2 linked regions of the Drosophila melanogaster genome follow. The protein of the gene in region 1 interacts with the protein of each later gene in a pairwise test. Each region holds a gene or a part of one and is shown in the gene's direction. Other genes may lie near its edges.

Evidence for each region. Proteins that work in one complex are often made in the same cells at the same time.
Region 2: the proteins of Cdep (region 1) and CG3457 interact in a two-hybrid assay, tested with the Drosophila melanogaster proteins (one large-scale study listed by BioGRID).

Annotation. Positions count from the first base shown.
Region 1 is NT_033777.3:4,906,977-4,915,370, forward strand, and holds the start of Cdep (Chondrocyte-derived ezrin-like domain containing protein), read left to right. Parts: upstream 1-3,575; 5' UTR 3,576-4,109; intron 4,110-8,394. Other genes in the region: Gnf1 (germ line transcription factor 1), read left to right, coding at 1-1,143, 1,206-2,114, 2,173-2,950.
Region 2 is NC_004354.4:2,184,004-2,189,419, forward strand, and holds CG3457 (uncharacterized protein), read left to right. Parts: upstream 1-3,816; 5' UTR 3,817-3,893; coding exon 3,894-4,472; 3' UTR 4,473-4,916; downstream 4,917-5,416. Other genes in the region: Nmd3 (Nonsense-mediated mRNA 3), read right to left, coding at 1-535; CG17776 (uncharacterized protein), read left to right, coding at 962-1,174; CG17777 (uncharacterized protein), read left to right, coding at 2,926-2,937, 3,145-3,465.

The DNA of each region.
Region 1 (8,394 bases):
TGTGGTGGCCGCCACACCGGAACCGATTGCGAAGAAGGCCAGGAACGGGCAGAAACCAGCGCTCTCCAAGCTTAAGCGGCACGTAGATCCTACGGAGCTTTTCGGTGGAGAAACCAAACGGGTGATTGTGCCCAAGCCGAAGACCAAAGCTGTTCTCGAGTTCGAGAACGAAGACATTGACCGGAGTTTAATGGAAGTTGATCTGGACGAGAGTATCAAAGAGGCTGCCCCCGAAAAAAAGGTTCACTCGATAACCAGGAGCTCTCCCTCGCCTAAAAGAGCAAAGAACAGCAGCCCGGAACCGCCAAAACCCAAGTCAACAAAATCCAAAGCCACCACTCCGCGTGTGAAGAAGGAGAAACCTGCGGCAGATCTAGAATCCAGTGTCCTAACAGACGAGGAACGCCACGAGCGTAAACGTGCTTCCGCCGTGCTCTACCAGAAGTACAAAAACCGCAGTTCGTGCCTGAACCCCGGCAGCAAAGAAATTCCAAAGGGATCCCCGGATTGTCTGAGTGGCTTAACCTTTGTCGTAACCGGAGTCCTCGAGTCCATGGAACGAGAGGAGGCGGAGTCCGTGATCAAGGAGTATGGCGGAAAGGTGATGACCGTGGTTGGAAAGAAACTCAAGTATCTGGTCGTAGGAGAAGAGGCTGGACCAAAGAAATTAGCTGTGGCTGAGGAACTCAATATACCCATTCTCAGCGAGGACGGGCTCTTCGATCTAATCAGGGAGAAATCAGGAATCGCTAAGCAGGTAAAGGAAGAGAAGAAAAGCCCGAAGAAGGAGCACAGCTCCGAGGAGAAAGGGAAAAAGGAAGTCAAGACTTCTAGAAGGTCCAGTGATAAAAAGGAGAAGGAAGCCACTAAACTGAAATATGGCGAGAAGCATGATATCGCCAAACATAAAGTCAAGGAAGAACACACTTCCCCGAAGGAGACGAAGGATAAGCTTAATGATGTACCAGCTGTTACCTTGAAAGTAAAAAAAGAGCCCAGCTCCCAGAAAGAACACCCTCCGTCGCCAAGAACTGCCGATCTGAAGACTCTGGATGTGGTCGGGATGGCCTGGGTGGACAAGCACAAGCCTACGAGCATAAAAGAAATCGTTGGCCAGGCAGGAGCCGCCAGCAACGTGACCAAGTGAGTAACCTAAATGTATAAATGGTAGCTTCCACTTTCAAAGTTATATATTTATTATACAGTCACAATTTGAAACTGAAAGCCAAACAGGAGAGGGTTAAAGTTTTACATTATTTTAATTTTCCTAGGCTGATGAACTGGTTGTCCAAGTGGTATGTTAACCATGATGGAAACAAGAAGCCCCAACGGCCCAATCCTTGGGCCAAGAACGACGACGGCAGCTTCTACAAGGCGGCCCTACTTTCGGGACCCCCTGGAATAGGAAAGACCACGACGGCGACTCTGGTAGTGAAGGAGCTTGGCTTCGATGCGGTGGAGTTCAACGCCTCCGACACACGCAGCAAACGCTTGCTCAAGGATGAAGTGTCCACGCTGCTGAGCAACAAATCCCTCTCCGGTTACTTTACAGGGCAAGGCCAAGCGGTCTCCCGCAAGCATGTGCTCATAATGGACGAAGTTGATGGCATGGCCGGTAACGAGGACCGTGGTGGAATGCAGGAGCTGATTGCCTTGATCAAGGATAGCTCTATTCCAATTATTTGCATGTGTAATGATCGCAACCATCCAAAAATTCGATCCCTGGTTAACTATTGCTACGATCTGCGATTTCAGAGGCCTCGCCTCGAGCAAATCAAAGGGAAAATAATGAGCATCTGCTTTAAGGAAAAAGTAAAGATATCACCGGCCAAAGTGGAAGAAATCATAGCGGCTACCAACAACGATATTCGGCAATCCATTAACCACATTGCCCTGCTGAGCGCCAAGGAAGACGCTTCCCAAAAGTCAGGGCAGCAGGTTGCCACCAAGGATCTGAAGCTGGGACCCTGGGAGGTGGTGCGAAAAGTCTTCACCGCGGACGAGCACAAACACATGTCTTTTGCCGACAAGAGCGACCTTTTCTTTCACGACTACAGCCTGGCCCCGCTCTTTGTGCAGCAAAACTATCTGCAGGTCCTACCACAGGGAAACAAGTAAGTCTAGTTTACCTAAGCCAAGGGCGTACCCATTCACCAACTTCACTCTTTGCAGAAAGGATGTCCTGGCAAAGGTGGCAGCTACGGCAGATGCCCTAAGCTTGGGTGACCTTGTTGAAAAGCGTATTCGTGCGAATTCTGCTTGGAGTCTTCTACCCACTCAGGCCTTTTTCAGCTCGGTCCTTCCTGGCGAGCACATGTGTGGCCACTTCACTGGACAGATTAACTTTCCCGGGTGGCTGGGCAAGAATTCCAAGTCTGGAAAACGTGCCAGGCTGGCCCAGGAGCTGCATGATCATACTAGGGTCTGCACCTCGGGCTCAAGGCTATCAGTGAGGCTGGATTACGCCCCCTTCCTTCTGGATAATATTGTGCGACCTCTTGCAAAGGATGGGCAGGAGGGTGTGCCCGCTGCTTTAGACGTTATGAAGGATTACCATCTACTCCGTGAGGATCTGGACTCGCTGGTCGAGCTTACATCCTGGCCCGGCAAGAAATCCCCACTGGACGCAGTGGATGGGAGAGTAAAAGCCGCTTTAACGCGATCCTACAACAAGGAGGTTATGGCATACTCCTATTCCGCTCAAGCAGGCATCAAAAAGAAGAAATCAGAGGCTGCTGGAGCGGATGACGATTACTTGGACGAGGGTCCGGGCGAAGAGGACGGAGCTGGTGGCCACTTATCATCAGAGGAAGACGAGGACAAGGACAACCTAGAGCTGGATAGTTTGATCAAAGCCAAAAAGAGGACAACTACGTCAAAAGCGTCTGGTGGATCCAAAAAGGCTACATCTTCCACGGCTTCAAAGTCTAAGGCCAAGGCCAAAAAGTGAATGCACTAACGATTTCCTATATTATATGATGATTTTTTTGCCATCAAATTTCCCATTTGTAAGTAGTTTTTGTTTAAAATCTCATGAATGGCCGGCACTGGCCGACACTGTTTATACTGCTGAAAATATATATTTACCAATAAAATATGTGCTTGAATTGCAAAACATTTTATTATAACACTGAGTGGCGTAGGTGTAAACTAAAAAGGGAAAAATTGGTAATAAAATAATTGTCTGTATGAATAATACTACGAAAGAATTGAGATGATGATTTTTTAATTGATCAATTGTTTGCTTTAACTGTATAAGGATCAAGAGCGCGAATATGTCAAGCTCAAATTTATTTAAAAAAAATTGTTGGTAACGCGATCAGTGATGGTCACTCCATGCTCTATAATTTAAACTAATTTGTACTATCGTACATTTACATTTGTGAAAAATACGTTTACAATTTAAAAATTAATTTAAGTCTTTAATTTATACTTAATTAATTATTATAAATATATTATAACATAATAACGTTTTTGGCCTGAAACAAATCGATGATGTTGCGAAGCACAATCGATAATGCAGCAATCGATGTTTCGGCAGCCCTGCTATCTCGTGGTAGCGCCAAAGAGTATCGTATCTGAGTTTTTTCCCCGATGTCAACGCGAACGGATGCACGTACTGGGCAGCGGAAAATGCAGTGAAAATTGCCAGAAAAGTCAGGGGACAGCATGTGCGGGCAAATTCAAGCGAAGCATTCGATTAACTGCCAGAGTGCGCGATCCACTTGATTTTCCGGGAATACCTGCCACGTTCGACGGGTTTCGCGTTCTATATTTTTCGCACTGAAAATTCTCGGCTTACGCGCGCCTGTGTGTGTGGGAGTGTGTATCTGTGTATCCGTGTAAAGGGCGCAGCTCGGCGAAAAACAACACCCATAAATGAGCGAAGCCAGCCTGGCGTCGCGCTTTTAATCAAATTAAAATTAATTGTAGTTCAAAGCGTCGAACTCGTCCGCTTTTTTTTGTTTTTTGCGCAACTCTCTGAAAATTCAATAAGCACGTAAATTCCAGCACACACACAACGACTTCAACCGCGCACACACACAGATACAACGCTGCCGAGCTGGGCGAGCGAACGCGAGAGCGAGAGCGAGCGCGCGATAGAGCAGGCAAGTGCAGACTCCGATTCCCTCCCACACCCCCTGCCCAAGCACCCACCCCATTGCTGTTGTTGTTGGGCCAGGCCAGGCCAGTCACAAGGACACTCTCAGCCTCCCAGCTCACGCATACATGCTCACGCCCGAGAGCCAGGGTTTTGCGCTCCTCTCCCCTTCCCATTCCCCTTGCGCTCGGTAAACAGGTGCCGCGCCTTGTACCGTTACTTTGCCTGCCTTCGGAGGGCTTCGTGCTGCGTGTTTTGGCTACACATGTTTACCTTTCAGCACTCGCCCAAACGTCATTGCAGTGAGTGTGAATCCATCCAGGGGTCAAGTGGGGGGAGTGTTGTGAATGAGGGATTCGAATAAACGAATTTTCCAGCTCATAGCTGTCGCCAATACTCCTTTCACGCAGCATGCAAATTGAGATTTACTCATAATGTATTTTTCGCCCACAAGCCATTTGTCATAAAAACGGTAAAGAATATGAATGTGATTTTAGGTTTATCACATTTCGATAGAACTTATGATGCCACTTGTAAGATAGGATATGCTATAACATCCAATTTGGATGTAAAGATAGCGTTTTTTTTTTTTATACGGGAAAAGAGGAAGAATGGCTCTGAAATGCTTATTTTGCTCCCAGTCGAAGTACACATTGTCCACCTATTAATATATTCAAGCTGAATACAATTTCCTTGCTTTTTCGCCTTTCGCCTTTCATCTTACCCGCATCCTGCCTCATTTTTATCGCCCTTTTCACATTTCTCTGCACACAGCGCTCCATATTCAGGTCATTGCATTTGTTCGACGTTCCACCCCATCGAAACACCACCCACTTCTCGCCCTTCCCCACGCCCCCTCTGACACATTATGCTGCGATCGTCCTGCGTGTGAATGTTTACTTTTCAATAGATTTCGCTTTCGTTCACTCGAAAGTCTGTCAGTGGACAAGTTCTTGTTATTTTCCGCCTCATCGGCGGACCCTGCATTTTTATCGGCTCATGAGGTCAGCGCATTTTTCTGTGCCATGGGACGTATCTCTATTTGCATAGTGACGAAACTCTTCAATAATAAACTCCGCAAAAAGACCGAAACTGATATCAGAGACCTTCCGATAAATGGTTTGCGATAAGGCAGAACAAGGAACACAGTTACAGCTGGGCACCCCTAACGGGTTCAGTATCTTTATCCAGACTGCAAAAACAATAGCCAGAAATGAAATAGATACACCATGGGTGTACATGGGTGAAAGACAGTTGTTCTTGCGTAAGACGACCTCTGTTCATATTTTGGTTGAATGCGAGGTCTGTCTGTAAAAATATAGTATAGTTCGACATACAGGAGGTTTCACTGTACACCACACATATGCAGCACTCTGTTTACACCGCTTCTTATCAGCAGAACGCGGTGTGTGTGGGAGAACCGCTTGGGGCGGGCTAGCGGCACAGATAAGCCAACGCCGACAACACACTTGACTGAAGAGAGCGGAACCGAAGCTGTCAAAATACCCGTTTGTTAGCAAGCTGGTCGTTGAGTTTTTGGCTAGTCAACAGCCCTTCTGACATCATCATTGGGGCTCTTTTAGGATGGATCAAAGTCCCGGCCTAAAAGTTTGCCGTGTAGAAAACTAGGCATATTCTTCATATTCAGTACGTAGTTTGTAGGGTAAACTGTTGGAATATATTTTCCACTTATGACAATGTCGAAGCCATTACACGGATGCAATGGATAAATATAGGCCGAGACAAGAACAACTTGACTTGGCTTGTTGGCCAAAAGAGAACGAGATATTCGTGCAGACAAAATGAGTTAATAGTGGACTCTGGAGAGACTATCTGTCGTTGAATCCCAGAGATACACAGATACAACACACAAAGTCCGCTGATGGCCGCATTGGCCCGGCTAAATTAAGTTGCAAGCCCACTTCCAGCCTATGCCCACATAAATATTTAATTTGCGATCTCAATTCGCTTTGTTGGCTTTCTGAGTGTGTTTTTTTTTTGTTTCATGTAAGCCAGCAAAAGCGGAGAACATATAACAAAATGAGGGTGGTCGTTGATGCGCGGTTCACCCTTGTTCTCCTTTGTTTTTCGGCGATTTAATTGAAATTTGTTTACTCGCCAGTGATTTACACTCGTTAGCAGGTTTTCTGGTTTTGGTCAAAGCATAAAACCATTACCATTTCCGTTTTCAGCTGCCTGAAAATCGAAATGTATCTGGTGTCACGGCCCGTCCGTTATGTGCTGAATATAAATTAAGCACAGTCAATGTGCTTGATCCCCTGTACAGTGGACTCAGGCAAAACCACCAACAGTGCTTCGCAATAAATAATCAATAATCAAAAGTTTTTTTTATTGCTTTCGTGAAGGCTTGTTAACGACGAAATACTTTGCTTACTTCTTACTTTTTCTTACTACTTTGCTACTTCTTGTAGTGCTATAAACATTTACATGGCATTTATTTGAAAGATTCCTTTAGAATATGGTAGCAATCCTCTGTAGGAGAGTGTTCAATATCGTTTGTATAGCGTGCTACTCAATTTTCCTATACAAGATAATTTTCTTTTTTCAAAATAAAACCAGGATTTGAAGAACTTTTACCATTTCTTCTCCATGCATATGATTTTGCCACCTTTAGGCGGCTTTTATCGTACTTTGTTCAACAAATTGCCATAATTTGTTGTAAATTCCAATCAAGTGGTTGCCACTAGTGGTTCGCATGGCGGGTGCGGCGGTTCGGGTCGGTCTAATCAATACCTAGAGCCACTTGTTTGTTCGTTCAGTCGAAGTCTTGTCCAGCTGTCACTTAAATGGTTTGTGTGTATGTGTATGTGAACATTATTTTCCACTTCGTACTGAGCAGGGGTCTTGTTCACATGCGACTATGCGAGTATCTGTGGATATCGGGGTATCTGCGAGCCACCCGTGACAATACTAATTGATTTCCCCACACAGACACTGTCCCTTTTGAGTTTTCTTCTGCGGTGTGTTGCGGTTGTTCATAAGTTTCCTCTTATTATATTATATTATTGCCATTGCTGGCTTCGTGGTGTGTGGTGCAAACTGGCAAATAATTCGTTAAACTACGGATTACGTAGCTTGGGAAACAGTTTTTGCGGCTGATAGCATTGCTAAAAGGAAAACCTTTCATTATAAATGTAACAAAATTTAAGGAGCGCAGTGCATCGAACAACGGTTGCAGATAGCAATTAAGCAATTCCGGCTATTCTGGCTATAAGGAACATCATATGCTCACTTGCTGAATAGTAGAAATGCAGACGAAGAAGGGCTGGCTCAGGCAAAAATTTGCCACACACATGTCCCTCTGCATATACAAACATATACATATGTATGTGCTCCTATATTATTCTGATGCTGTACCCCCCTATACCCTATACATACCACCAAGTGTGTGCCATAAAGAAAGGCTGTATACCGTGAAGTAAACAAAGAGCCGAGTCATATAAAAGAGCAACTGCCTGTGGTTGTATGGTATGGTATGGGCATGCGTGAGGGGCGGGGGCGGGGGACTTTAAATAAATATTTTAATGAACTCCACTAAAGGCTGTGCCGACGCCTAAAAAGAGTTGACTTTGAAACGCACTGACTGGCTGCCAGTAGCAGCAACTACAAGAAAGTCCGCCTGGCTGACAGACAAGCGGAGTGCATCCTTTTATACTCACATGCTCGCACATCAATGCAGTGCGTGCACTTTATTTTTAGACCACTGTAGAACGTGGAAAAAATGCAAGAGGTGCAGGGAAATGGAGGGAGTCCAATACCATGTACCATCTACCATCTACCATGTGGGATGTAAAAAAGATTTTTTCGTTGAAGTTTTAATTTTTCTTTCTCTGCTTGTTCACAAACACCCAGCTGCAATTGTTGTTCTTTGGGCTTCGGCTTCTTCCCCGGCAAACTGTCTTATTTTTCGAAGAAATCTCCCAATGATTCATCTCTTTCACCCGGACAAGTCGTGCGGGAATTATGAAAGATGCTGGAGATACATTTTAATTGAGATGCACACAAAATAGATTAATAAAATTGAGTTCAAGATTGCACAGGCCTAAATTGAAAGTCGACACGGTCAATATATTTAAGGAGATCTGGGGAGTAGGGCCCAATTGAAAGGAAAATTTTGTTCAAGTCGCTAAATGGGGCTGTCAATAGTGGACAAACAAATGTTATATAGAGCGTTGTGTGCTCATGAGATATCGATTATCGAGTAGATTAAGATATACGAGTGTAACATAAGTGTATATCAAATGCAAATTACCTAGATGCTTTTGACGATT
Region 2 (5,416 bases), on another chromosome or scaffold:
AAAAGGTTTTCTTGTTCTCGGCCCGCTGACGAACCTGCACGAGGCAGCGCCAGAAGTCCTTGGCCTCGGTCCGATGGCAGTCGTTGCACATCTGGTTCTGCACAGTGAACTCCACCACGAATACCTGCTGGAGCATCGTTCCCCCGATGATCTCCCCATGCACAGTCAGCTTCACCTTTATGCGCTTGGAGTGCTGTTCTGTCCAGATGAAGCCGGCATCCACCAACTTCACTTCCTTCAGGCCTTTTAGCTTCTTAAGGCAAATGGCCAAGAGTTCGCGGGACTCCAAGGCGGCCTGTATCCACTCGTTCGGCGGTTGCAGATAGCGCTCGCAATTACGACAGAAGTGGAGCACGGCCTGCTTTGGGATGTTCTCCGTGATGTCGACATGGTTGCGCAGGCAGGTGACGCACATGTTGGCCGGATTCGGCTGGATGGCCACTCCGCACTCGCAGCACAGGATGACGGCGTTCGATCCGGCGCCCTTGCCGTCCGCTGCGCCCAGCGGGCTAACCCCAACGTATTCGTGATCCATGAATCCTCCGGAGGTCTATTCGGTCCAGCTATTTCACAATGGCGTTGTAGAATACGATGAAATATTCCCACGAAGTACACAAATTTGTAAACACGTGCGTATAGGTGTATATCGATTGGCCAGAGATCAGCGATATTATTAATCGGCGATTTAAGTTAAGCCTTTTCCAGCTAGAGTAGCTAAAAGTGAGATTAACGATAAAACGACGTTAAACGAGTGAGACTCAAAGCTAAATGGGACATTTGGAACGATTTCCTAAAATTCACTTAAAAATATAGTACTCATTCGACTGTCTTCATCTTTATTTTGGCTAGTAAATGTACGCCCAATTATCGATACATTCGCCGCCGTCATCACTGACAGACCAGCTGAGGCGACGGACTCGACTGCCGGAAACTTTTATGGACTTGGAAGGGATTTGCCGCCATGCAGAAGAAGCCGATTAACACCAACACGCTGCTGGACAAGCTGCACCGCGGCGCGGTGTATGCCTGCATTGGAGTCACCCTGTACGGCACCTACATCCTGGGAATGCGCTACTACCACTACTGCACGGTCATCCGACCGGAGAAGCAGCAGGCGGAGCTGAAGCTCCTGGACGAGGGAGCCCACGACAAGGCCAAGGAACTGAAGTACTAGGCGCGCCCTCCTCCGCCCCTTTAATTGTTAAATGTCTGTTAAGCGCAATAAACTGTAAGGAAATGTAAGCATTTTCAGCTGAAAACGGCCAACGCCGGTTGTTGTTGTGTAACCTCGGACAGCTGGCCAAAGTGGAGGACCGTCGGCAGGCCCGGTGGGATTGTAAGATTCCAGATTCAAGATCTAACCCTGGAACCAAGCCAACAATGCGCAATTAGCCGTCTGGGCCGTAAATCAAACTGGTCGGCTACAATGGGAAATCAATCAATCGACAGCGACATGGACATCGACCCGTTCGGCGGACTAGACTTAGTCAAGAATTATAATTTAGCTGGCAATCAAATATGTTGTCATCTCCGGATCGTGACCAGGTCCCAGTCCATAGACCAAACCCCTTGGCTGCTTGGTCTTCCGCTTGCCCAACGCGTCTCGCGTGCATTCACCTCCAATGGGCAGAGCATAAATATTAAACGATGTGGATACGAAAACAACCGCGGGGAGAAGGAGACAATGGCGGTGCCACCCACTTTTGGCCAGAGATGGCGAGACGTCGTCGATTGGGAAAATCTTTTGCATGCTTCATTCAACAATGTTGCCTCCGGCGTTGCTTCATTCATGACTTGGGAACTCGGAGCAGCAAAAGCAACAGCCGCAGCAGACTGCAATTGCGATTTGCAATTGCCACTGCGGTCAAGGTCGTCCTTTATTGTGTGGGCACGGCACTGGGTACTGGGTAGCAAGTACCCCCGGCAGACGGAAGTGATCGAGAATAATGGAACGCGCAGAACAGAGTCGTCTGCCCAAATGGCTATCAAATTGTTTTAAAACTTTAGTATATTAAGCAAAAGCTGTGCTCCTCTGAATAGAAGATCTCTTCAACCTAGTTTCAAGCCCATTAAAACTAATGACCATTGACCTGGTCACCGATCCTTGTCCCAATATACCCCTTAAGCCAGAGGTCTCCGTCAAAGTCGTGCACTTTGGATATTCTGTCGATAAGACTTTGCATTGGAAATGATCTGGCAGAGATCTCAGCTGTCTGGCAGCTTAATTAAAATGCCAAAACGCTGCCAAACGTGCAATTGTTTGTAATTTGTGTATAATGCTGGCGCGCATATGCGATTCCCACGGGGCCAGTGGCATCCCAGCATTTGGCCAGCTTCTGAACGAGCTTAGGTAATAGTGCGCCTTTTGGGCGCTGCTGGCCATCCGATCTGGCAGTGAAAGTGTTACACGATATGCATACCGTGTACGAGAGGGGCACTTGGTGATTGTGGAACGCGTCGAGTGTCTCGTGTTGCACGTTGCTTGTGGATCGCGTTGCTGCCCCACTTCGGTTACCCAACGAGCCTGGGATCTTAGAATTTCGACTACGCTGGCAATTATAACCGATATCGTTAGTTTCCACGCCCACTCCACCTCACTCCCCCCACTGCAATCCTCCGCCAAGTTCTCCTCCGCCGGATGAGCGGATGGATGACCTTTTGGCTCCGCAGCATAAACAATATTCGGTTTCAAGTCCTCAACCCGTCATGCATTCAATTCAGCTGCAACAATCGCTGCTGCTGCTGCTGCTGCCGCCGTTATTGTCAGTTTGCATAATTGCAACTGTAGCAGCAACTGGCAACAATAAGCCAAGCCGGGTGACTATAAAAGCGTCGGGCCACTGGCAGCCATCAACAAACCTCGCCTGGCGCCCTACCCATCAAGTCAACCAGCCAACAGCCACTAGCAACATCTGCAGCAGCAACATGAAGTTCTTGGTAAGCAGCAACACCAGGACATTAGGATACCAGGATACCAGGACACCGGTCAAGCAAACGAGTGGACTTTTTTTTGAGTGACAGTTTATCCAACAAAATACAAGTTATTTAAAATTGCTGGAAGTGCTCTGGCTACAATTTGAAACAAATCATTTGTTAACATCGTTTCAAATGTTTCATATACCGAACCTTTTTTTCTCTGTGCAGTGCGTGTTCGTCATCCTGGCCATTTGCTTCATGAGCACCTGGGCAGCAGTTTCGGAGCCTGCTCCTGAAGCTCTGGAGCCGGAGCCATCCGCCGTGGATGAGAAGAAGACGGAGAAGAGAGGCATCTACGGGTTCGGCCACGGCTATGGCGGCTACGGCGGATACGGCGGATACGGTGCCTATGGACACGGTCACTACGGCGGCTACGGTGGACTGAGCAGTCCCTACTACGGCGGCTACGGATACGTCCATGCGGCGCCCTACTACGGCGGACACCACGGCTACTATCCGTACCACCATGGCCACTACGGCTTCTACTAGGACCACTACCTATCCCCAAGATCGTAATGCATACTGTTTTTTTTTTCTCGATCGCTCCATGCTCATCACTGCACCATCATTCGTATATGTATATGTACTGGTTTTCCCCCATCATTCACCGCAATATAAATGTACTGCAAATAGCGAATACATTACTCGCATGTCTTTGAATTTGGGTTGGATGTAGTACAAATATGATATATGTACATATGTAAACAAAGTTAAATCCTACTCAACAATAAAGAATCGATTACATTGCATATGTATGACAGTAAAAGTGATTTTCGGTCACTCTATGGGGGCCAGTGAAGGTATAAAGCCGCTATTGGCCCAGTGACTGTTATACAAAAGTCACTGTTCTAATTGCGATCGGCGCGTGACCACCAGTCTTTCGGATCATCAGCAAAAATCAGGAATTCGACTTCGAGATGCTGAAGCGCGATCTGCAGAAAATCACACTCAAGCTGTCCGATCTCAAGGACTATGAGGTTGCCCGCCAAAAGAACAAGTTAAAGGGCGCCCCGCGACCTAGGCTTTCTCAGGACGCCCTCCCCGGAGACGACGCCTCCACTTCGGGAACAACGGCAAGTTGCAGTTCCAACACGGAAACGGCCACGGAAACCGCATCGGGATCCGGATCAGGGTCTGGATCGGGCTCGGGTTCTGGGTCCGGGTCGTACATTACGGGAATGGGCTACCGTTCGGAGACACCCTCCTCCGCATCGTACACCACGTCGACGACCCCGACTCCGGCCACTCAGGAGGAGATACTGAGACCCTCGTCCGCCGTCACGGCCACCACAACCACTGGCACCACTAATTCCGGCTCCACGGATGACGTGAGCGTGGCGGCCGTAGTGGATGACACGGATACCATTGACGAAATCAGCGATGACAACTGGGTGGACCTGAATGCGGACACCAACGATACCGTTGATACCCAGCCGGAGGAGCAGGACCAACTGCAAGAGGTGGAGGAGGAGGATGGGGCTAGGGGAGGAGTGTAATCCTGACCGCTTATCGCGTTATGAAAACATAGCGCAGCTGCACTCAAAGCCCACCCCCCCCCCCCCCATTTCACATTCCATTTATCATAACAATTTGTATACGTAAACAAGTATAATAACCCATTGCATGCTCCACTTACCTAGCTGCTAATAATAATAGTTTGCAAGGTTATATGTCGCTTATGTCATCTTCAAATCGAAACATATGCATTTTATAGATTTGGTTAACTACGGTAAATGGTTTTGCGGCCTTTTAATCGGGAGGACGTGCGATCGGATTATATCGAGTGGGGAATGCGGGTCCTCCTAATTGGCTCTCCTCAGAAGGAGCTAGGCAAGCGGCAGACGACAACAAGTGGCTTATGGCCACCGGCAACAGGTGGACGCAGTGGAGTGGGCACTAGGGACTGTTGTGGAACGAGATGCTATTCAAGCGCCCAAGGGGTACGTGCAACGTGACTTGAGCCGTACAAAGCGGAGGAGGGGGTGGCCTCCAACGGAGCTGCCTCCACGAAAGCTTCCCTCAAAAGCTGAAAAGCTCGCAGGCATCGGCGCTGCATTCAAAATACGTGGCCATACTGTTTTCGGGCGGCAGGCTGGCCAAAACGGCGGTTTGAACTCAATCCCATCCGATTCGGCTCGGCTCGGCAGTACGGAGCACGGCAAACGGACGACGGAAAGTGGATAGCGGATAGCGGATGGCGGATGGCCGGCCTTCCGCCAATTACGGGTCGCTGGAGTCCACGGCCAAGCGATTGTCAATTAATTACTCGCCTAGGTTCGATATCCAACGGCTTTGGTTACTGTGTTCCGTGGTACAAGTGCCCGTCTCAGCTTCCGCATCCGTGTACCGTGCGCATCGGTATCGGCATCCCAAGCGGCATCGGTGACCGTGACCCAAGGATCGACCGGTAGCATCACGTGCCACGTGCCGGTTCATCAAA